Rhinolophus ferrumequinum: one gene and its partners. Each later gene encodes a partner of the first gene's protein in a complex. Links are inferred from orthologs where the notes say so. Each region holds a gene or a part of one and is shown on either strand. Other genes may lie near its edges.

The links. The genes of interacting proteins can lie anywhere in the genome.
Region 2: cytochrome c oxidase assembly factor 1 homolog (region 1) and TMEM126B share a complex: the UniProt entries of both Homo sapiens proteins name them as parts of the mitochondrial complex. The link is inferred for Rhinolophus ferrumequinum from reciprocal best matches to the Homo sapiens genes COA1 and TMEM126B.
Region 3: cytochrome c oxidase assembly factor 1 homolog (region 1) and ACAD9 share a complex: the UniProt entries of both Homo sapiens proteins name them as parts of the mitochondrial complex. The link is inferred for Rhinolophus ferrumequinum from reciprocal best matches to the Homo sapiens genes COA1 and ACAD9.

What each region holds. Positions count from the first base shown.
Region 1 is NC_046303.1:57,539,971-57,547,238, forward strand, and holds the start of cytochrome c oxidase assembly factor 1 homolog, read right to left. Parts: upstream 3,009-7,268; 5' UTR 2,930-3,008; exon of another isoform or gene 2,907-2,929; intron 2,826-2,906; exon of another isoform or gene 2,651-2,825; intron 1-2,650. UniProt on the Homo sapiens protein: Component of the MITRAC (mitochondrial translation regulation assembly intermediate of cytochrome c oxidase complex) complex, that regulates cytochrome c oxidase assembly.
Region 2 is NC_046294.1:58,590,425-58,598,131, reverse strand, and holds the start of TMEM126B (complex I assembly factor TMEM126B, mitochondrial), read right to left. Parts: upstream 3,011-7,707; 5' UTR 2,995-3,010; coding exon 2,914-2,994; intron 1-2,913. Other genes in the region: DLG2 (disks large homolog 2), read left to right, coding at 4,980-4,998. UniProt on the Homo sapiens protein: As part of the MCIA complex, involved in the assembly of the mitochondrial complex I. Participates in constructing the membrane arm of complex I.
Region 3 is NC_046285.1:217,020-224,457, reverse strand, and holds the start of ACAD9 (complex I assembly factor ACAD9, mitochondrial), read left to right. Parts: upstream 1-4,428; coding exon 4,429-4,575; intron 4,576-7,438. UniProt on the Homo sapiens protein: As part of the MCIA complex, primarily participates in the assembly of the mitochondrial complex I and therefore plays a role in oxidative phosphorylation.

The DNA.
Region 1 (7,268 bases):
GCTAATATAATTAACAGTGAAAATCTGAAGCCATTACTTTATGTTCAGGAACACGATCGGGCTGTCCCCTATCACCTCTGCTTTTCAACATAGTGTGGGAAGTCCTCGCCAGAGCAATCAGGCAAGAGAAAGAAATAAAAGGCATCCGAATTGGGAAGAAAGAAGTTAAACTGTCACTCTTTGCAGATGACATGATGCTATATATATAAAAACCCTAAAGACTCCACCAAAAAACTATTAGAAACAAATGAATACAGTAAAGTTGCTGGCTACAAAATCAACGTACAAAAGTCCATTGCATTTCTATATACTAACAATAAAATCTCAAAAAAAGAAATAAAAAAAAAGCAATTCCTTTTGCAATTGCAGCAAAAAGAATAAAATACCTAGGAATAAACTTAACCAAGGATGTGAAAGATCTATATATTGAACACTATAAGACATATTTAAAAGAAATTGAAGAAGACACAAAGAAATGGAAAAACATCCGCGCTCATGAATTGGAAGAATCAACATAGTTAAAATGGCCATATTACCCAAAGCAATATACAGATTTAATGCAATCCCGGTCAAAATCCCAATCGCATTTTTTAAGAAATAGAACAAAAAATCATCAGATTTGTTTGGAACCACAAAAGACCCCAAATAGCTAAAGCAATCCTAAGAGAAAAAAAAAACAATGCTGGAGGTATCATACTCCCTGACTTTTGCTTGTACTACAGGGCAACAATAATCAAAACAGCATGATATTGGCAGAAGAACAGACACATAGACCAATGGAATAGAACTGAGAACCCAGAAATAAACCCCCACAAATACTGACAGATAATTTTTGACAAAGCAGCAAAAAACATACAATGGAGAAAAGACAGCCTGTTCAATAAATGCTGCTGGCAGAATTGGATAGCCACGTGCAAAAGAATGAGACTGGACTACTATCTGTCACCATGTACCAAAATTAATTCAAAATGGATCAAAGACTTAAGCATAAGAACTGATACAACAAACTGCATAGAAGAAAACATAGGTACTAAACTTATGGACCTTGGGTTCAAAGAGCATTTTATGAATTTGACTCCAAAGGCAAAGGAAGTAAAAACTAAAATAAATGAACGTGTATATCAAACTTAAAAGTTTCTGCACAGCAAAAGAAACCATTGAGAAAATAAAGAGGCAACAAACTGAATGGGAGAAGTTTTTGCAAACAGTGCCTCCGATAAGGGGCAAATGTGCAAAATTATAAAAGGAACTCATGAAACTCAACAACAAAAAAACAAACATCCCAATTGAAAAATGGGCAGAGGACCTGAAGAGACATTTCTCCAAAGAGGACATACAAATGGCAAATAGACATATCAAAAAATGCTCAACATCACTAATCATCAGAGAAATGCAAATAAAAACCACAATGAGATATCACCTCACCCCAGTCAAAATAGCTATCATTAACAAGACAAATAGTAAAAAGTGTTGGAGAGGCTGTGGAGAAAAAGGAACCCTCATACACTGTTGGTGGGAATGCAGACTGGTGCAGCAGCTATGGAAGGCAGTGTGGAGGTTCCTCAAAAAGTTAAGAATAGAATTACCATATGACCCAGCAATCCCTCTCCTGGGTATCTACCCAAAAAATCTGAAAACATTTATCCATAAAGACACGTGTGCTCCAATGTTCATTGCAGCTTTACGTAAGGTGGCCAAGACATGGAAACAACCAAAATATCCTTCGATAGGTGAATGGATAAAGAAGTTGTGGTATATATACACAATGGAATACTATTCGGTGGTAAGAAAAGATGAAATAGGACCATTTGGGACAACATGGATGGATCTTGATATTATAATGCTAAGTGAAATAAGTCAGACAGAAATAGTAGAGAACCACATGATTTCACTGGTATGTCGTATATAAATCGAAAACAAGAAAAGAACAAGACAGACAACTGAAACAACAAAAATTCATAGACATAGACAATAGTTTTGGGGTTACCAGGGGGTAAGGGGTAAGCGGGCAGCAGGGCTCCAGAAGAATGTAAAGGGGTCTAATGTATGGTGATGGAAAGAGAACTGACTCTGGGCAGTGAACACACAATGTGAGATACAAATAATGTGTTACAGAATTGTACACCTGATATCTATGTAACTACTAATAATTGTCACCCCCATAACCTTTAATTTTTTTTAAAAAAGTTTAAGTAGAGTTACTACTTCTATCTGAAGGTGAAGTAGACCAATAGAATACCTTGAAGTAGAGCAATACAGCTCAGGTGAGAATGGGTAAGAGTTAGCAGAAGATATAAGGCGTAGCAAGAATCAAAATTTAAGAACCTTCTTAGATTTTTAAAATGTTTAAATTTTTAAAATAACAAGGCGCGCGCGCTCACACACAGGTACCGTCTGCGCCGCTGAAAATCACTTCTACAGTCATCCCTATAAGGAGCTCAAGTGTGCTCTGGACAAAATTATTATGACCACTGCACCAGAAACTTCTACAATCATCTGGGCAGCGTCGTTCTCCGAGTGACGTAACAGGACAAACAACAAAGTGCCCAATTCCACCTCTTCTAGAGGACCCCCAGAAGAACGGCTTCACAAATGTGCTCTTGGGACCGCTTAGCAGGGACTGCAGGACAAGCCAAGGTTAGCTACACACAACCTCAGAACTCCGGGTTGTAAAAGCATCTAGTAGAATCCCAAGGCGCGGAGCCCACCGCGGCCGCCTAGGCACCGACCACACCGCCGAGGGAGGGTGCGCCACACCCGGTGGCGGCGCGAACGTCCCCGAGGCGACCCTTGAGGGCCTTCCCTGGCAGCAGCACACTCTCACGCAAACGCAGCCACCCGGAACGCTTGAACAAACTTGCTGAGCGTAGGAGATCCCCAGACTCTTCCTCCCAGGGAAATCTAACCCGTCAGCGAGAGCCGTACAGACCACAGCACGCGCGAAGATCCCTGCTGGAAGTGGGGAGTGGGCGGGAAAAGGCCGCGGGCGGGCCCGCCCCGGAAGAGCAGTGGAGACTTCCGGCGTCTCCTCCTCCGGAGGCTAGAGCGTAGGGCGCGGACACGGCTTGCCCAAAGTGGATTCGCCGTGACTGGGAGGCTGATCCCAGGTTGAGATCGCCTTGGCAACCGGGCTTCAACTTCCTAGACGCTGGGACGCGCGCCGGAAGGGATTCCTCTGGTCAAATCTCCGTTGTTTGTTTTCTGGAACCTGGTAGCCCACATCATGGGTTTGGTGCAGCAGGGCCCGCTTAGGACGTTTAAACCACTGGCTTATATTGCCCCTCCCAGGGACCTCGCCGTTGGCAAATCCCGGAGGAAGTGAAATCACGAACCCTCTGATATCCACTATGGCACTGAAGTCCATCTTGTTCCTTTCGGCTGAAAATTTAGCAATACTAAATTTTATTTTATTTACCAAATGTTTACGTATTAACTGCCTATGGTGCTCCAGGGAATGCAGGGGTAAGAAAAAAATTAATGATCTCTGTTCGCTTGGAGTTTAGTAGTAAAATGGGTAATAACAGTATTTACTTAATAGGTTTGAGTATGTAAAGTACTTAGAATAGTGCCTGGCACTGCATAAGTGCCCAGTAAACATTAGCTGTTATTATTTTCATCTTGATCATTCCATGGTCATCATCATCACTATTATCATTTACATTTTTAAAAAGATTTTTATTAAAATATAGCTAACATACAATATTAGTTTCAGATGTACACCAGTTATTCAACATTTATATACCTAACGAAGTGATCACCATAGGTCCAGAATGCTGTGACACTGTACCACCGCTATCACAGTATTATTGACTACTGTATATTCCCCATGCTGTACATTACATCCCCATGGCCTGTTTGTTTTATACCTGGAAATCTGAACCTCTTATTCCTCCTCACCTTTTTTACCCCTTTTTAAAATTTTCAATTATAGTTGACATGCTGTACAGTCGACATTATATTAATTTTGGCTGTACAGCATAGTAGTTAGACATTTCTATTTAAGAAGTGATCCCCCTGACTAGTCGAGCTCCCACCTGGCGCTATACATAGTAATTATCATAGTATTGACTATATTCCCTATGTTTTACTTTACATCCACATGACTATTTTGTAACTACCAATTTGTACTTCTTAGTCCCTTCACCCTTTTCACCCTTCCCCCAAATCCCCTCCAATCTATCACCTCGATTAATCTAGTAGCCGTCTTACACCAGATATAGTTATTACAATATTATTGACTATATTCCTTATGCTATATGTTACATGCCCATGACTACTGTGTAACAACCAATTTGTACTTCTTAATCCCTTCCCCTTTTTCATCCACCCTCAAACCCCCTCCCATCTGGCAACCATCAAAATGTTCTCTATATCTATGAGTTTGTTTCCGATTTGTTTGTTTATTTTGTTCTTTAGAGTCCACATATAAGCAAAATCACATGGCATGCGTTTTTCTCTGTCTGACATACTCCACTCAGCACAGTGCACAGGTTCATCCATGACACCACAGATAGTGAGAACCCATTCCCTTCCATGGCCGAGCAATATTCTTTGTATAAATGTACCACCTATTCTTTATCCATTATTCCATCTATGAACACCGAGGCTGCCTCCACATCTTGGCCATTGTAAACAATGCTGCAATGAACAGGGATGCACACATTACCTCGAAGCAGCGTTTGGGTTTCTTCAGATAAATACCCAGAAGTGGGATTACTGGATCCTTCTTTGTCTCTTGTTATAGCCTTTGTTTTAAAGTCTATTTTATTCAGTATAAGTATTGCTACCCCAGATTTTTCTTTTTTTTTTTTTGATTTTCATTTCCATTTTCATGAAATACTTTTTCCCATCCCTTTCAGTCTGTGTGTCTTTCAATATGAAGTGAGTCTCTTGTAGGCAGTATATGTAAGGGTCTTGTTTACTTATCCGTTCAGCCACCTCACCTGTTGATAGGAGCATTTAATCCAATTACATTTAAAGCAATTATTGATAGGTATGTAATTATTGCCATTTTATTCACATTTTTTTATCTTTTCTTTTTAAAGAAACACCTTTAACATTTCTTATAATTCTGCTTTGGTGGTAATGAAATGTTTTCGCTTTTTGTTGTCTGGGAAACTAAGCTCTTTGTCCTTCCATTCTAAATGAGAGCTCTGCTGAGTAATCTTGTTTGTAGGTCCTTGCTTTTCATCACTTGGAATGTTTTGTGCCAGTCTTTTCTGGCCTGCAAAGTTTCTGTTGAAAAATCAGCTGATAGTCATATGGGAGCTCCCCTATGGATAACTAATTACTTTTCTCTTGCTGCTTTTAAGATTTTTTTTTTGTCTTTAACCTTTGTCATTCTAATTAAATGTGTCTTGGTGTGGGCCTCTTTTGGTTCGTATTGTGTGGGACTTGCTGTGTTTCCAGGGCTTGTATGTCTATTTCCTTCACAAGGTTAGAGAAGTTTTCCATCATTATTTCTTTAAATAGGTTCTCAATCCCTTGATCTCTCTCTTCTCCTTCTTGTACCCCTATGATGTGAATATTGGTATGCTTGATGTTCTCCCAGAGGCCCCTTAAACTCTCCTCTTTTTTTTTCCTGTTCTGTTTGGGTGTATTTTGCCAACTTACTTTCTAAGTCATTGATTTAATCCTCTGCTTTATCTTATCTACTGTTGATTCCCTCTAATGTAGTCTTCATTTCAGTTATTGTATTCTTTATTCTGACTGGTTTTTATGTTTTCTATCTCCATTTTTATGTTTCCTGTGTCACTGAGCATCCTTATCATCAGTGTTTTGAACTCTGTATCTGGTAGATTGCATGTCTCCCTTTTGTTTAGGTCTTTTTCTGGAGCTTTTGTCTCTTCTTTTATTTGGACATGTTTCTTTGTTTCTCCATTTTGGCTGCCTCCCTGTGTTTGTTTCTATGTATTAGGTAGGGCTTCTATGCCTCCCAGTCCTAGTAGAGTGGCCTTATGTAGGAGGTTTCCTGTGGTTCCCAATGGCGCCGTCTCCCTGGTCACCAGAGCCAGGTGCTCCAGGTGTCTTCCTTGTATGGGTTGTATGTGCTCTCCTATTGGAGCTGAGCCTTGGTTGCTGTTTTCACATCATTAGGAGCGATTGACCCTCAGGCTGATTGGTTGTGAGGAGTGGCCATGTCTACAGTGGAGGAGCTTTGGTACAGGGGCTGACTTTATGGAGCAGGATTCACTTTACCAGGACTCTGGTACCTTGGGTGTGTCATCCTTGGAGGTGGTGAGGTGGTGCTCTGGCTCGGTCCTAAGCTGGATACCAGTTGTGCCAGCCCCATGGTCTCCTGGAAGGGGACCTGCTGCAGACCAATTTCAGTCACAGCAGCCACAGATGGTTGCTGCCTGCACTGGGCTTGGAGGTGCCTTGAGAGGCCAAGCTGCAAACCAAGGCCAGCTGTTGCTAGTGCTGGGCTTAGGGCTGATCGGCTAGAGGTATAGGACATGCCAAAGCCATATACTGCTTGTTTGGGTTTTGTGAATCTTTGAGAGATTTTAGGAAAGCATGCAGCATGCCAAGACAGGACAATTGTACGGAAAGCCACTGGAAGTGGCTTGGTTTTGCCCAAAAGTTGGGTTTGGTGGGGTCTCAGGGAATCATGATGGCAGGGCAGATGAATAGTGTTAGCCAGGTGATGGAGACTCAGATATGGTGGCTGCCTGCCTTTGCATACCCATAGAGGGGAGGGCTCAACAAAGCGACAATGCCTTCTGCTAGCTCCTCCGTCCAGGAGAGAGCTGTCCCTCCAGACCTTGCTCTGAAGCCAGAAAACTCCATTCTTCCTTGTATGCCCCTGCTGCCTATTGAGCTGCTGCCCTAGCAATGGCCTCAAGGCAAGTGAGTCCGTCAGCGAGTAAGTCCATGTGCGGGCCCTTTAAGAGGAGTGCCTGTGAGACTAGTTGCCCTCCATCTCATTCAGCCACAATCTCCACTGGTTCTCACAACCAGAAGTAATGGGAACTTCTCTCCCTAGCACTAGACCCTCGGTTGGGAGCCTGGTATGGAGCTGGTACCCCTCGCTTCTGTGGAGGGGGGGGGACCTCCAACCTCTGCAGTTAAGATATACCTCCTGATTTTTAATGGTCACACGTGGGTGTGGGACCAGCTCGTTCCAAGCCTCTGCCCCTCCTACCAGTCTCGAAGTGGCTTCTTCTGTATGTACTTAGTTGTAGGGCTTTAGTTCAGCTAGATTGCAGGTGATTCCCAATGATGATTGTTCTGTAATTTAGTTATAATTTTGATGTTGTTGTTAGAGG
Region 2 (7,707 bases), on another chromosome or scaffold:
TGCCTTGCAGAACAGTGAGAGAAAAAAAATCACAAAGAGGGACACTGTTCCAGGCTAGGAAGAGGCAGTGGATCATGGCTACCTTGCATTACATGAGTTACATATCCAGCTCCCTAGTAGTACCTGGGGTGAAAGCAGGGCCTTTCCTGGAAATTGCTGTGTGGTATACCGGTGAGTAGGGTCTCATGGCACTGGACACCAGGGTTGGAGGTTCCTGTGTCCCAAATGTGATATATGAATAGGTGGTTGTCAATGTCAAGGGACCATGAGGATTTGGCCAGTACCATTTTCACAGAAACCAGTGGTAAAAAAAAACACAACACCCTGGATCCTCAGAAAGGATCCTTTCTGAATGTTTTGCTCTGGGTAAGACTCTTAGATCTCTGTGAAAAGTCTTAATAACATTAAATTTTTTGCCACACTAGAATTATGGGATTCCAGGTTAGCCAATGAATAGAAAGTTCATTCAAAGAAAAGTGTATGGCCCGTCACAATTTATACCAATCTCCATTTTTACATCAAATTTAGTTAATGGCATAGACTAAATCTCAAATTTCCGGAGTCCCAGGCAAGAAAATTAGAGTGGATTAAGTGCAATGAACACAGAAGTTACTTAATAAATCAGTGATTTTCAACCTCTCCTGTGCACAAGAATCATGTGGGGAGTTTATTTGAAATGCAGTCTCTTGAGCTCCCACCTGAGATATGTGGATTCAACAGGAGTAGGGTGAAACTTAGAAATCTGCATTTTAATAGCACCAAGTGATTCTGTTGCTGGCAGTCAATGGACACATGTTGAACATCACTGTAATACTCATTTGCTGAATAAGCTGAGGTCAGACAATTAAGTTTGTGAACCTGTTGCAAAGATGTTGCTAACCTTTTTTGATTATCAGAGGGATTATTTATTAGGAATTTGTATCAAATGGGCAATCAGTTAACCAATTTTACTGTTTGGAAGTGCTGAAAAGGCTTCGTGAAAAAGTTAGATGACCTGAACTTTTCACCAACAATTCCTGGCTCTTGCATCACGACAATGCACCAGCTCACACTGCACTGTCTGTGAGGGAGTTTTTAGTCAGTAAACATATAACTATTGGAGCACCCTCCCTACTCACCCGATCTGGCCCCCAATGATTTCTTTCTTTACCCAAAGATAAAGAAAATATTGAAAGGAAGACATTTTGATGACATTCAGGACATCAAGGGTAATACGATGACAGCTCTGATGGCCATTGCAGATAAAGAGTTACAAAATTGCTTTGAAGGGTGGACTAAGCACTGGCATCAGTGCATAGCTTCCCAAGGGGCGTACTTCGAAGGTGACCATAGTGATATTCAGCAATGAGGTATGTAGCACTTTTTCTAGGATGAGTTCTTGAACTTAATTGTCCGACCTCTTATGTACCAATCCTAACCCTAACTAATGAAAGGCCAATTCATCCATGGTATAAATATCCTGAAGATATGGGCTCCTTTGGACATTTGTATGGTATTACACAGTGACTAATTAATAATGACTTAGTTTCTTTCCTTGCATCATTTTAGACTGTACTCAAGCTACTATGTTTCCCCAAAAATAAGACCTAGCCAGACAATCAGCTCTAATGTGTCTTTTGGAGCAAAAATTAATAAGACCCGGTATTATATTAATTATATTATGTTGTATTATATCATTATACCCGGTCTTATAGTAAAATAAGACCAGGTCTTATTTTTTGTTCCAAAAGACGCATTAGAGCTGTTTGTCCAGCTAGGTCTTATTTTCGGGGAAACATGGTAGTTCTATCTTTTTCTTTAAAATATCTGGGGAGGACAGGGAAAATTTTATTTTTTTTTACAAGTTACAGTTTCTCAGGGACTAGATTTAATCTTTTGCCTCGGACATCTAAATGGAAAATGGAAGAGAAGAGATAGTAACATCTGGGGGGAGGTTCTATATCTAATGTTCTATGAAGACAGAAGTCAGTAACATAATTAACCAGAAACCTTGAATAAATTTTTTGTTTTGCTGTCATTCAATTCATTGAAGTCCCTTACTCCTCACAAAGAAAACTTTCAGGCTATGACTTGTATCAACCCCCTACCTTGTCTAGGAGGACACAGGATTATGAGCCTAAAATACTAAAACAGGACAGCAAATATTTATTGAGTGCCTAGTCTTTGGAAGGTACTGTTATTAAAACAAAAATATATGGATAGCTTTTTGATAGATTTTTGACAAGTATTGAAACAAAGATTTTTGCTATAACCAACATTTTATCTAAATAGTCCAAGGCCACTCAACTGGTCTCCATGATCATACCAGAAAGAGTGTATTTATGTAGATTTATAGTTTACAAAGTATTTTATGGTTTTGTAGTGCTTTTATGTGTACTATTTCACCTGACTTTCAGAATTTTATTCAACAATCTTCCATCATTTGACAACCCTTGGGATAATCAAGATGTAGTCATCCTCAGGGACACACAACCCAGACGGAGGTCTGGACAAAAAGGCAGGGAATTTAAACGCAGAGTGAGTATGCCATAAAAGCAAAAGCCAAACTTAACCTATCCAGGGTAAATGTGGGAAGGCTTCCCAGAGGAAGTGACATTTACGCGAATATCCGAAAGAGGAGAATTTGGCGCGCGCTGTGTGGGGAGGGAGAGATGCAGGGATGCCTTTCAAGTTGAAGGAAAGGCCAGTGCAAAGGCCAGGAGGCAAGAAAAATCAAGCAATCAAGACTGGACTTTAGGTCTCCTACATTCTTTCCGCCTCTTTCCATTGCAACTGGAGACTTGATTGAGCCCTGCATGGACCTGGGAGCTGTTCTCTTTAGGTATTCAAGCCCCTTATACATCATTCCAGAAGAGTCCTCCAACACTTGAGGCTACAGAAATCAGGGCCCATACCACCTGGGTTTCCGCCTACCTTGCGCACTTCCCCAGCTCCCACCGGCACCACACTTCCATCCCTCAGGTCAGCCCCAGCCTCACGCCCGAGCGCCGCCATCTTGAGGGCTCACGTGACTAGCGAGTGGGCGGGGACCGAGAACGCCGGGAGGGAAGTGGTCACGCCTCTCTCCCGCAGTCCCGGCCCGCCCGGCCCGCCCCGACTTAGTCAAAAGCCGCGCCCTCCATCCTGGCTGTGATTGGGTGCGGCTTCCTGAAATTACGGCCTCTCATTGGCTTCGAGGAGGTCCAGACTCCCGTAGGCCCGCCCCCCCGCCAGCCCTGCATTCCCTTCTTTTGCTATTTGTTAACCTAGCTCCCTCTTCTCCCATCCCGAGGGAGACAAGGGGCGGTCCGAGCGCAGGGATGTTACTGCGCGCTTTCCTCTCTTCTGGGCACCTCTGTTAGCTGGGGCCGAGCTGCCCGCCCCTCTCACTCCTTGAGGGAGCTCAGCCTTTGGCTTGGCCCAAGTGTTAAGGCTCTGGCTTCTCAGGCACCTCCTCCCCTGAGCCCACCCGGCCGCCAGGGCAGCCCCGACTGGCCTCCTCCCCTCGCAGCCGACTGACTCCTCTTCCTAATCTTTAGTGCCCTCATCTTCCATCCTTTCACTCCGCTTGGAAAGGGACCAGAGGGAAATTTGCCCCCTAATTCCCGAGAAGACCCCCGTGCCAGCCAGTGTCTCGGGGTGGGGGGCGCAGCAACGAGGCCTGGCGCCTTTCTGTGCACGCTCAGTGCCCAGCAGTATCTCCCAGACCAGCAACCCCCGACCCTCCAGCCTCCATGTCTTAGAGAAGCCAAATCCGAGAGTTATATAATTTCTAGTGCTGCTGTTTCTCCTGCCTGAGGAAACACTTCATCGCTTGGAGGGTGCAGGACATTTCTGTGCTCTTCTATATAAGAATGGGGTGTGGGTAGGGGTGGCCAGCGGTAGCACAGATTTCTTGTCTTTTCTGCACAAGGAAGGTGGGTAGTTTGGAGAGAGATTGAGAGAAAGGGTGGATGTGGAAGCCAAGCAGCCGAACACTCTCATTTAGGAAATCGCGAACTCTCTCTGCACAGCTTGTGCTCACATGCCTAATATTACTACAGCGTCTCAGAAAACACCTTTGCGGGAAGGTTTGACTTCTCTGGAGCAGTCTCAGTGTTTTTCCTCGCTGGATAGGCAGCTGCTTGGATGCGAAGAGATGGCATGATGTGAATGACTCCAGTGTGAAGAAATTTGCTTCGCCAACTCATCCTGCATCAAGTGCCCATTGAGTAGCACTGTCACTTTAATGTCTCCATGCCAAGGGATTGCTTTCCTTCTTTTCAGTCCTCTCGGTTAATACACGGGAGGATCAGAATCAGAGGGGCATTAAGGATCAAGCCTGAGGGGCTTGGACAACACAGAAGAAAAAAAATGAAAGTGACAGCAAGCTGGATCCTGTCTTACTGAGGGGGCGAGATCTGGAACTTCTGGTCCAGTAAATAGAAAGGGGCCTTTCAGTCTGTGTTCTGCCCCAGGAAACTCTTCAAACTCACCCACCTTTTTAGAGACCAGTCAAAGAGGTTTTTAAAAGTATTTTTATTTTTTGGAGGGGTGTTTAAATTTTTCTCTAAAGAATTGAGGATCTTTCTCATCAACCAGTTCATTTTTGAATTAGATCATGTATTGAGTAATGAAACAGCTTTGTAAATTTGGTTTGTGCCTTAATTGAGTTATTCATTGATCTTCAAAAATGTTGCTGCCTGAAGAGGAGTTTTAATAATATTTTCTATGCTTACAATAATTTTATTAGCTTTTTAAAAAACAGAATATTTTATAAAAATTGAAAAACTTGAAAAACTCAAAAGTTATTTTTCACTAAACTCTGTGGGCAATGTCAAAAGTTTAATTGTGGAAAAGATACGCTATTTTTTCTTTACCTGAAAGAAGACAGCCTGGATTTCAAAACTAAACAGGTGAAGTGGTTTGCAACAGTTACCTGGCTCTTGGCTTCAATCCAGTTGGATCGAGTTGAGACCTGAAAAGAGATCCTGCATCCTGTGACAGTAGAAGGACCAAGAATGCCAGTCAAGAAGAAAGGTGGGCTATGAGGCTTTTATATAATATATGTTTCTCCCTTTTCTTGGTTCTGGTATTTGCAATTTACATTGCATTCCATTTGAGAGTAAAATTTTGCTTGAGCTTGGGGAAATATTTATTATAATAATGTCTTTTCTGTGGCACATCGTTTAGTAATATAATTTTGCTAACGTGAAATGAAGTAGGACTATAGTATTTAATTATAGACATTGATGACTTCATAAATCAGGTTGTCTAAATCACCATTTATAATGAGGATAGATTTGGTACCATAGATTTGGGATTTTCTTCAGCTTGTTTTCTTAGCTTGTTAAAGGTCACTTTTAAAAATCTTTAAGAACGAAACTTGTACAGTGTTCTTCGGCATGGTTTTAGTATTATCAAGTGAATTACATGGTTGTAAAAGATAGCAGAACTGCACTGAAAAAAATTATAGATTTATTATTTATCTTTTGGTTGAAAATAGATTTCATATTTGGGTTTACTCTAGTGTAAATCTTCACTTTTGTGATAAAGGACAATTTGGGTAACTGTGTGCTTTTTCAGATGTATGCAATATCCAATAGCATGATTGGCAAGTTCTTCAAGTGAGGCAAACACCTGACTCCTACCACGTATCCATTCCTGAAATTGATCAAGAGCCAATGGGTTCCTGACATATAGTTTATTATAGTTCAGATCTTGGGATTTACTTTAGCCTGGATCTATCCCAGGTTAACTTGGTTCCTAAGGATCCTAGTGAAACAAGGGAAACCAGCCTTTTTTTTTTTTTTTGGCCATGTACAGAAGATCAGATCAACTATAGTTTTCTCGAGAGTTTTGAACCAAAATTTATATGAACACCACTGAACTCTACTATACTGAGCTAGCATAGATCCAAATATTGCCCAGTTATATGAGTTGCTACAACCTGAAACTAAAGTTCAGGGTGATGGTTAAAGTGTAGCCTGGCTCTGCATGATGTTGAATCCGTCTACCTGTGGATTTGGAAGGTGCATTGAGAAAACTTATGATCAGTGAGATGCTTTATCCAACTGTTGTCATCTGTAGAGATAGAAAATGATATTTAAAATTTTTGAAACACCTAGCAATGTCCTTTTGTACACTGGGATTTAAGGCTGGGATTATTTCCTTCTCTCATTCCCAGTCTCGCTCATTGTCACCGAGAGAAGCACTTGTAAACTCTCTATGAGATTTTGGAGCCACACCTGTCTAGACCTGACAATAGTGGCTTGTCTGGAACAAGAGTGGTTTTGGTAATGTAGCCAATAAATGATATGGCTCTTTGATTTATTTAACTTACAGTGTATTTTAATTCTTTCTACCATTTATTGTTCTCAAGACATTGTCCCTATTGGACTACTTTATTTTAGACTTATAATTGAATTAAACACATTGCGTGAGTGTGTGTGTGTGTGTGTGTGTGTGTGTGTGTGTGAAAGAGAGAGAGAGAGAGAGAGAGAGAGAGAGAGAGAGAGAGAGAGAGAGAGAGAGAGAGAGAGAGAGACAGATGGGGCCAGGGAGAGGGAGAGAGATATAAAGGGATAAAAGGGAATCTAGGAAGGAGGAGGAGGAAGTGCAATTGATATTTTAGGTGTAACTTAACTAAGCCAGTGATCTTAAGGTTTTTAAACCCAATAGACTGAGTCTCTTAAGAGTTCCTACCTTTAAAGGAAGTTACAAAAATTGCTGATACATTATTGAAACTTATACTTTATGAGAAGTAATTTAATTTTTATTTCCCTTTTCCCTCTTTCTTCCTTCCTCCCTCTTCCCCTCTTTCTTTCCTCCCTGCGTCCCTTCCTCCCTCTTCCCCCCTTCATCCCTCCATCCCTCCTTTTCTCTCTTCCTTCTTTAACAATGAATTGCTTGTAATGGATCAAATTTTTAAGGAACCAACAAGTTCTAATTAGCAAAACAAGTATATATTTGGGTTATACTAAAGTATATGCATATGTAATTTACTTTATGAACTGATCTCTTTAAATCTATTTAGAAAAACAATTTATCTTGTTTTTAATCTCTTAAAACCAGAAGTATTAAGATATATTTTTGAATCTTTACACAACTAGCCAAATAAATTGTGACATGTGCATTATATTTTTAATTGACTAAGCTTACTTTTGTACTATTTCTAAAATATAAGTAAAATCTAACCTAGATTTATTCTGCAGAGAGTACTATCCTCTGTCATCTTGAATCTTTTTTCTTTCTTCATTGTGACATCTGGTAGATATGATGGAAGAGCTAGATTAATGTAATTTTAACAATAAATATCTTTATTGAGCCACATGTTTAATCATTGTTGAATATGTTCGTGTTTAAATAAATTTTCATAGGACAGATTTCATTTGGTGTTTATTTTGTATGTTATTATAAAAGTACAGAGGAGGTTCTCTGGTTGGTAACATACAACCATGATGGGAAGTGCGAATGGGTCTGACATCTCATTAAGTCCATTTTTTTAGGCACTATTGTTGACTGCTCTTAGATAAGCTAAAACTGCTGTACCTCAAACCCCTGTACTCACTGCTCTTTTGCTTTATGACACAACTTCCTACCTCCTCAACCCCACTCTTCACATTTTAACAGATCTCAGTTTTATCAACAGAAGACTCTTTATTTCTCTGTTAGAGATTTTTTTCCCCAAGAGTTGCTTTTCATTCAGGATTCTCTTTTCTACAGTAGTAACTTGATTTGTTCCCGACT
Region 3 (7,438 bases), on another chromosome or scaffold:
TTCAGGGAGAAGCCGGCACTGAACTGCCTGCCTGCACTGTGGTCCTGCCATCTGAGCCAGCCCTTGTAAAGGAGTTCCTGGAAGTGTGTTTCAACGAACAGGACTGAGGCTTTTCCTGTCAAATCGGAGCTGTGCAGCTGTGTCACCATCAGCATCTTCACCAACCAATCAGAGTGGCTCCACTCTGACCAATCAGGACAGTGCTGTTTGGACCAATAAAACTGTGAGGATTTGGACTCCTCATTTACATAACGTCAGAACAATCAGGGACCAGTTGCAGGGACTTGTCTCTATATCTCAGCTCCCCTCTAGCTCGGGGAGCACATTTTCCCTTTCCACTGAAGACTGTTTCCCTAGCTGGAGTTGAAACACCAAAGACATCTTGCCACACCAGAGTGGAGTGGACTGAAGCAGATGGAGTGGACCAGAGCATGGCAGAGCCTACCTGAGTGGACTGGACTGGAGTGTCTTGACTGAGGGCCACCTCTGTGGAACAGAATGTGCTGTTCCAAAGCCATTCTGTATCATAATTGAGCTGTAACACTATTGAGCTGTCGCATACCTGTGCTGTTCTCACAGCTGTGCTGTATCACAATTGAGCTATTTGCACTGAATAGTTTTCCTTCTTCACTATACCCCAAATTGGGGATTCCTGTTGGCATTGAATTGGCATCAATGACCATCAGTTGACACACTCCATTACCTTTGCAGCTTTCAATAAGCTAGTGACTTCCAGGTTTCCATAATAAATAATGTACCCCAAATGGGAACAAGTATAAAGCAAAAAGGAAGGAATAGTAGACAGCATAATGTAGTGTATGAGACAAAGGATTCTTTGAGGGACACCTCTGTACACACAGATCTTTGGTCTTTAGACAGTAAGGTGTCAGCCAACTTCTCTCTCAGCAGGAAATAAACTAGTGATAAAATGTGTACAACTTATTTGTGTGCCCTTGTATTAGGATATTGACTGCTTTGAGGCAGAAACCTTAGCTAGACTCATATTTCACATAACTGATTATTGATCTTATAGCCATGGAACAGGAGACAACTCCCCTCACCCTTTCTTTTCTCCAATTCTGTAAGTCAATTTCTCCACTGGCTTCCGATTTTGCAGCTTTAACACTGGGGTATCTAGGAGTAGTTTTCTACTCAGACAATATGCCTGTAACTCAAAACCAAACATCCTGGTATGCTATTATGGCCAAGGAAGAGTGTCAGATTATTTGCTGGTAAGTTATGTATGGGAATCAGCTGCATTGATGTGACTCATAGAAAGGACATTCAGAGATACAGGCATACCTTGGAGATATTGTGGGTTTGGTTCCACACCACCGCAATAAAGCGGATATTGCAATAAGTGAGTCACACAATTTTTTTGGTTTCCCAGTGCGTATAAAGTTATGGTTACACTATACTGTAGTCTATTAAACATGCAATAACATGTCTAAGAAAATAATGTACATATCTTAATGAAAAATAATGTCCAACTGAGAACTTTGATGGAATTTTGAAGTTTTATCTTTTTGGATGTCAGACTTACTAATTTAATTAAGCAGATATTGTTTAAAGAGGAAAAAAACACAAAAAATAAAGATACTTTATTGCTCAAAAAAGGCTAACCATTATCTAAGTCTTCTGTGAGTTTAATCTTTTTACTGGTCAACAGGCGTGCCTCAATGTTGATGGCTGCTGACTGATATGTGTGGCTGTGGCAATCTCTAAAAAGAAGACAACAATGTGGTGCCCTTTCTACCATATCTGCAGTTACTTCCTCTACCGACGTCTTGAACCCTTAAAAGCCATTCACGAGGGTCGGAATCAACTTCTTCCAAACTCCTGTTAATGTTGATAGTTGACGTCTTCCTGTGAAATCACAAATGTTTTTAATGGCATCTAGCATGGTGAATTCCTTCCAGGTTTTTAATTTACAGATCCATCAGAGGAATCACCATCTATGGCATCAATAGCCTTATGAAACGCAATTCTTAAATAAGACCGTAGCAAATATAATCATAAAGAAAAGTCTGAAATATTACAAGAATTACCAAAATTTGACACAGAGACATGAAGTGAGAAAATGCTGTTGGAAAAATGGCACCGATTGACTTGTTTGGTGCACGGTTGTCACAAACCTTTAATGTACAAAAAGCAGTATCTGTGAAATGCAATAAAGCACAATAAAACAAGGTATGCCTGTACTCAGTGAGGATGTTTTAAACTCTGAAGATGGGAAATTCTATGTCTATAGTAAACTACTTAAAAATGGCATCCTATTTCTCAGAGGCTTATACTCAGGTATAAGATACAAACCTCAGAGTGTAGGCATTTTTCATTTTTACAGTACTAAAGGAAAAACATTGCTCATTTAATGTGGTAGATGCTTTCATATGGATTATTTTACTAAATCCTCACAAAAATCCTGTGAGATAAATGGTATTATACTCATTTTTATAGATAAGGAAACTAAACTTAGAAACCGGCATAGAACTCTATAACTCTTTTCCCACTGTACACACTACTTGAGTACTTACAAATTATGCCTTAATTTATTTATAATTTTTGTTTTGGAAACTGTGTGCCACTGAATTTCTCACTTGCTTAACTTAAGGTTGATCTCTGTACACTAAACAGGAACTGACACATTATCAGATTACTTGATTGATTTGACATTTGTTTTGGCAAAAATGTACAGCAGCTCAAGATTGAAACCCAGGTTTTGCAATATCACTTTTCTTTGTTTCATCCCCCTCCCCAGGTTAATTCACAAAGGCAGCAGTTTCCAAATGCCTTCTTGCAAAGCTATATTTTGAAATAGACAAATATTGATCACTGATGAAGAAACCAGGCGATAAACCTTTGCAAGTCAAAGAAAAGACAAAATAAAAAACAAATTGCAGAAGATGTTTGCAAATACACTGCAACCAATAAAGTTTTTGAGCTCTTCCCCGATGTTCTATCAAGTTTTTACTCAAACAAGTAAACATTTTATTGGGCCAGGCATAGCACCATTGAGATGAATGAGATTCCATTCAACTCCTATTCTCCAGGAGTTGCCATAATGAATGAAGGCAAAAAGGATTTCCCAATACTGTGGTAAATGCTATAGTCAGGGTACAAGTACAATGAGAGGTAAGCAGAGAGAAAAATCTTCCTGGAGGAGGCTGACTTAAGACCACTAGTGAGTGCACACTTGGCCTGGTTCATCGCTGGGCTGTGCGGTGTCTCAGAGATGCCAGGTCCTCCTCCCTGGGCCCTAATGACTTTCTGGACCTATTCCACCAATTATTGTTCCCACCCCTTCTCGGTTCCCTCTGAAGCTTCTCTTCCTTTGCCTGCCCTTTTAAATTGGTGTTTCCTAGGTACAGTTGTAACTCACAGGATTTTATCCAAACCTCTCTCCTGCAGAACATCACTTTTCTTTTCCTACACACACACACACACACACACACACACACACACACAGTGGTACCTCAGTTTTCCAACGCAATCCGTTCCGGAAGACCATTCGAGTTCTGAAACATTTGAAAACCGAGGCGCAGTTTCCCCATAGAAAGTAATGCAAAATGGATTAATCTGTTCCAGACCTTTAAAATCAACACCTAAAACTGTAAATTGAGCATGAATTTTACTATCTAATGATACCACAGATCCATAAAATTTACGGCGTTCGTAAACCAAAATGTTCGTCAATGGAGACGTTCAAAAACCGAGGTGCCACTGGGGTGACAATGATATGCACACATATGTTAAGAGGTGTTATCTATGCTGAAGTATAGTTTGCTATAATCAGAAGTCTCTGGACACTGAAGATAACCAGGTAACCACCTTGAGCACCTCTTGTAATTGCAGAAGTCAAATGTGACTTATATTCATCTTTTGTTATCGTTATGTATTATTACAATTTAGTTTTTTCCCTTTCTTAAAATGTGTATACATTTTTTATTGTACACATATAATCGAAACAAAACGACTTCTCACGAATCCACCATGCACTTTAAAACCGAATCCACCATCCACTTTAAAACCGTAACATTACCGGTACTGTGGGTTCCCTTCCACAGGTATATCGTGAAATTTCCCCATTCCCTTGCTTTTCTTTAGTTTTACAACGGCCTTGTTGCTCCACTTGGCAAGAGGGAGGTAAATGGAGGCAGCCAGGCCGCCGCTCACGCGCTGGTGCCCACAAAAATAACAACGCCCTCCTCGCCACCACGGCCACCAGCCAGGACAGCAAAACCATCAAGACGGCAGCGGCCCCGCCCCCCTGATCTGCCGGCGGCCCTGGGGGGCGGGGCGGGAGGCTGCTCAGGCGCGTGGGCGGGCGGCGCGGGCCGGTGACGTCATCCGGCAGCGCGGGCCCGGTGCACGTGACTGCGGCGCGGAGGAGAAGGTGGTGGCGGTGGGAGTGTGGGGATTCCCGGCAGCATGAGTTGTTGCGGGCTCTTGCGAAGGGCTGTGGCATCGCGTTCCTGCAGCGCTCTGGTGGCCTCTGCCGTGAGCCCGCGCCGGCTGAGCACCAGTCGGACGAGCCGAGCTTTCGCCAAGGAGCTCTTCCTGGGCAAAATCGAGAAGGTAACGCCAAGTCTGGGCCCACTCGGGCTCTCTGCCGCCTGCTTTTTGCCCCGATCAGGAAACACTGGGATCAAGCTTTTCCCGTGTCCGCACACCTGAGGGGCAAGGCGTGCTAACACTCCAGGTTCCTGAGTCCCATTAGATCATGTGCATTTTTCCAGGGAAAGGGAAGAGTCTTTCCAGGGCGGGGGGCCCCGAGAACTCATGGTTTTGACAAGTGTTCCATTTTGTTCTTGTCCAGTCAGTTTGGGAAACACTAGGCCAGGCGATGCAACCCTCAACTCAGCGGTCTGGCCCCCGAATGTGTGGGGCTTCCTCTCTGAATCCTAAACACAGCTCGGACCGTGCCACTCTGTCAGCTTCCAGCAGACCCGAGGCGTCCACAGCTGAGTCCGAGCACCTCACTCTGCCATTCAGGTTCCTCTGCAGTCTGGCTCCAAGGTGCCCTCACCCCATCCCTTCCACGGTGGCACCACCCAGTAGTAACCCAGATCTTACGCAATAGTAATAACAGCTTGGTTATTAAGCATTCAACGTCCTCTTATAGTAGGAAGACTTGGATTTGACCTCGGTTCTGTGACTGAGCCTCAGTTCTTTTAGCCTTAGAAAAGGAGCTAGTGATGTATTCTGTCTCACAGATGTGTTGTAAAGCCCCAGTGAAATATATAGGGTGTGGAAATGCTTTTTAGCCTGTAAGGTACTGTGCAGATGCAGAAGTCAGCAGAATAGGTAGTAAATGCTGGCTTCAACACTTACTAGTGTATGTGCCTAGTACTTACCCCCTCCTAAAGGTGCTTTGTAAACCAAAGGAAAAAACTTGCATAAAGTGCTTTGAGCTTGGCTGAAATGTTGGCTGATAGTATATCATTTAAGGACTTATTCCCTGGTTTTCCTTTGGAACATTCCTCTAAGGTTGCCAAGCATTACAGATGCAGAAGCAGAGACTCAGACTAACAGTGGTTTGCTCTGGTAGGAAGTATACAAACTCTGTCTTTAAGGTTTAGGAAACCATTTTCCCCCAGCCTGAGGCTGTGGTGCTCTGTCCTGGGATCTCATGCCCGCCTCAGCACAGTGAAGAAAGAAGACAAGTCATTCATGCTTCTCTTTTTCCAAACTTTTGGCACTCCCTCCCCCATTGTCACTCTGAGCTGTCAGCTTTGCTTCCTATTTCACTGAGAAAATACATGCAGTCAGATGACAACATCCACCATAACACTTAGCCGCTCCTTCCTATGCTCTGTGCCGTGTGGGCTGCATTCTCTTATTGTAGATGAACTGTCTACTTAAAGAAAAGGCCAAGCGCGTCACTGTACCTCATGTCTTCTCACCTACTCAGGGCTTTGACCCAGTAATTCTGTCCTTTCTCATCTACATCATCAGTTGTTCCTTCTCTGCTGCATCTTGAACTCACACCATTCAGGCTTTTGTCCTGAACAATCCACTTATGCTCATGAAAGTCAGTAGTGACCTTTGTGTCATCACATGTAGAGATCTGTTCTCTGTCCTCATCTTACTTGACCCATCATTGGCGTCTAACACAGTTTATCACTCTGGCTTCTAAGAAACTATTCTCTCCTAGTTTTTCCATCTGCTTTACTGGCTGATCCTTTTAACTTTTTCACTTTTTCTTTCTTGGCTCCTTGACCTCTAAACATTGGCCAACATTTTCAACTAGCCCAGTTGGAGCTGGAGTTTTTTAGGGCTCAGTCTGTAGACTTCTACAACCCCACATTGGATGATCTAATTTAGTATTGTGGCTTTAAATACCATCAATATGCGGATGTCTCAAATTTATTTCTCCAGCTCAGATTTCTCCCCTGAACTCCAGACTCTTTTTATATCTACCTTTCTAACAAAAGCTTCACTTAGGTGTGAATAAGCATTTCAAATTTAGCATATCCAAAACTGAGTTCCTGGTCTCCCTACCCAACCCCATTCCTTCTACCAGCCTTCTTAATCATAAATGGTTAATTTACTGTTCAACTTGTTCAGGCCAAATACCTGGAGTTACTTTTGATACCTCTTAGTCTCATAATCCACAGCTAATCTGACAGCACGTCTTGTTTTCTCTGCCTTACATTTAGAATCAGATTCTTATATTTAGAATCTGACTGCTTTTAAGCACCTGCACCACTATTGCCCTGGTTTAGGTCAGCATCATCTCTCACAGCATTATTGGGGTTTGAGCAGGAACGTGGCATCTGAGATGCCTAGAATTTCAGAACAGAAAGAGACCTTCAAGATCATCTAGACCAGTAGTTGTCAAACTGCCTTCAGGTGGACCCTCGTTATTCATGGGAGTGTCCCTGGGGCTACTGCTGGGACCAGTGGGAAGCCGAGTAGGAGACATTTGGGTGATCTTTCTCCCCCTCTGCAGTCTCAACCAGAGCAGCTTGACTTTTATTTGTTCTACGTATTTGGTGTCTGCACTAGATTTAACTAAAAAATATGTTTTACTACTTTAAAAAATTTGGAAGCGCAGATGGGAATTAAACCCAGCACCCATGAGGCACCCCGTTTAGTTTATGAACACTGATAGAAGAGATTTGTTCTTCCATGCATGGAGATCTCGCTCCCTGCAGCAGTTAGCCTTTGGTTGTGCTTGAGGGCCATCTAGTTCCCAGGCTGTTCTCTTTTCTTTTCTGGAGTGCTCACTGGTACCAGGATAATCTTATAATCGTCCTCTAACATAGCTCATTGCACAAGGCCTGAGTGAACCCATGGGCTTGTGAAAGCCAGAGCAGTGGGTTGAGCATCTGTATTTCAGCTAAGGAGCTGGCTGTGTTCTGAGAGGCTTCAGAGTGATTAGTCTTAGCATATTTTCCTCCTAGACAGTCTAGGACAGGGTCAGAAATGGCATGGA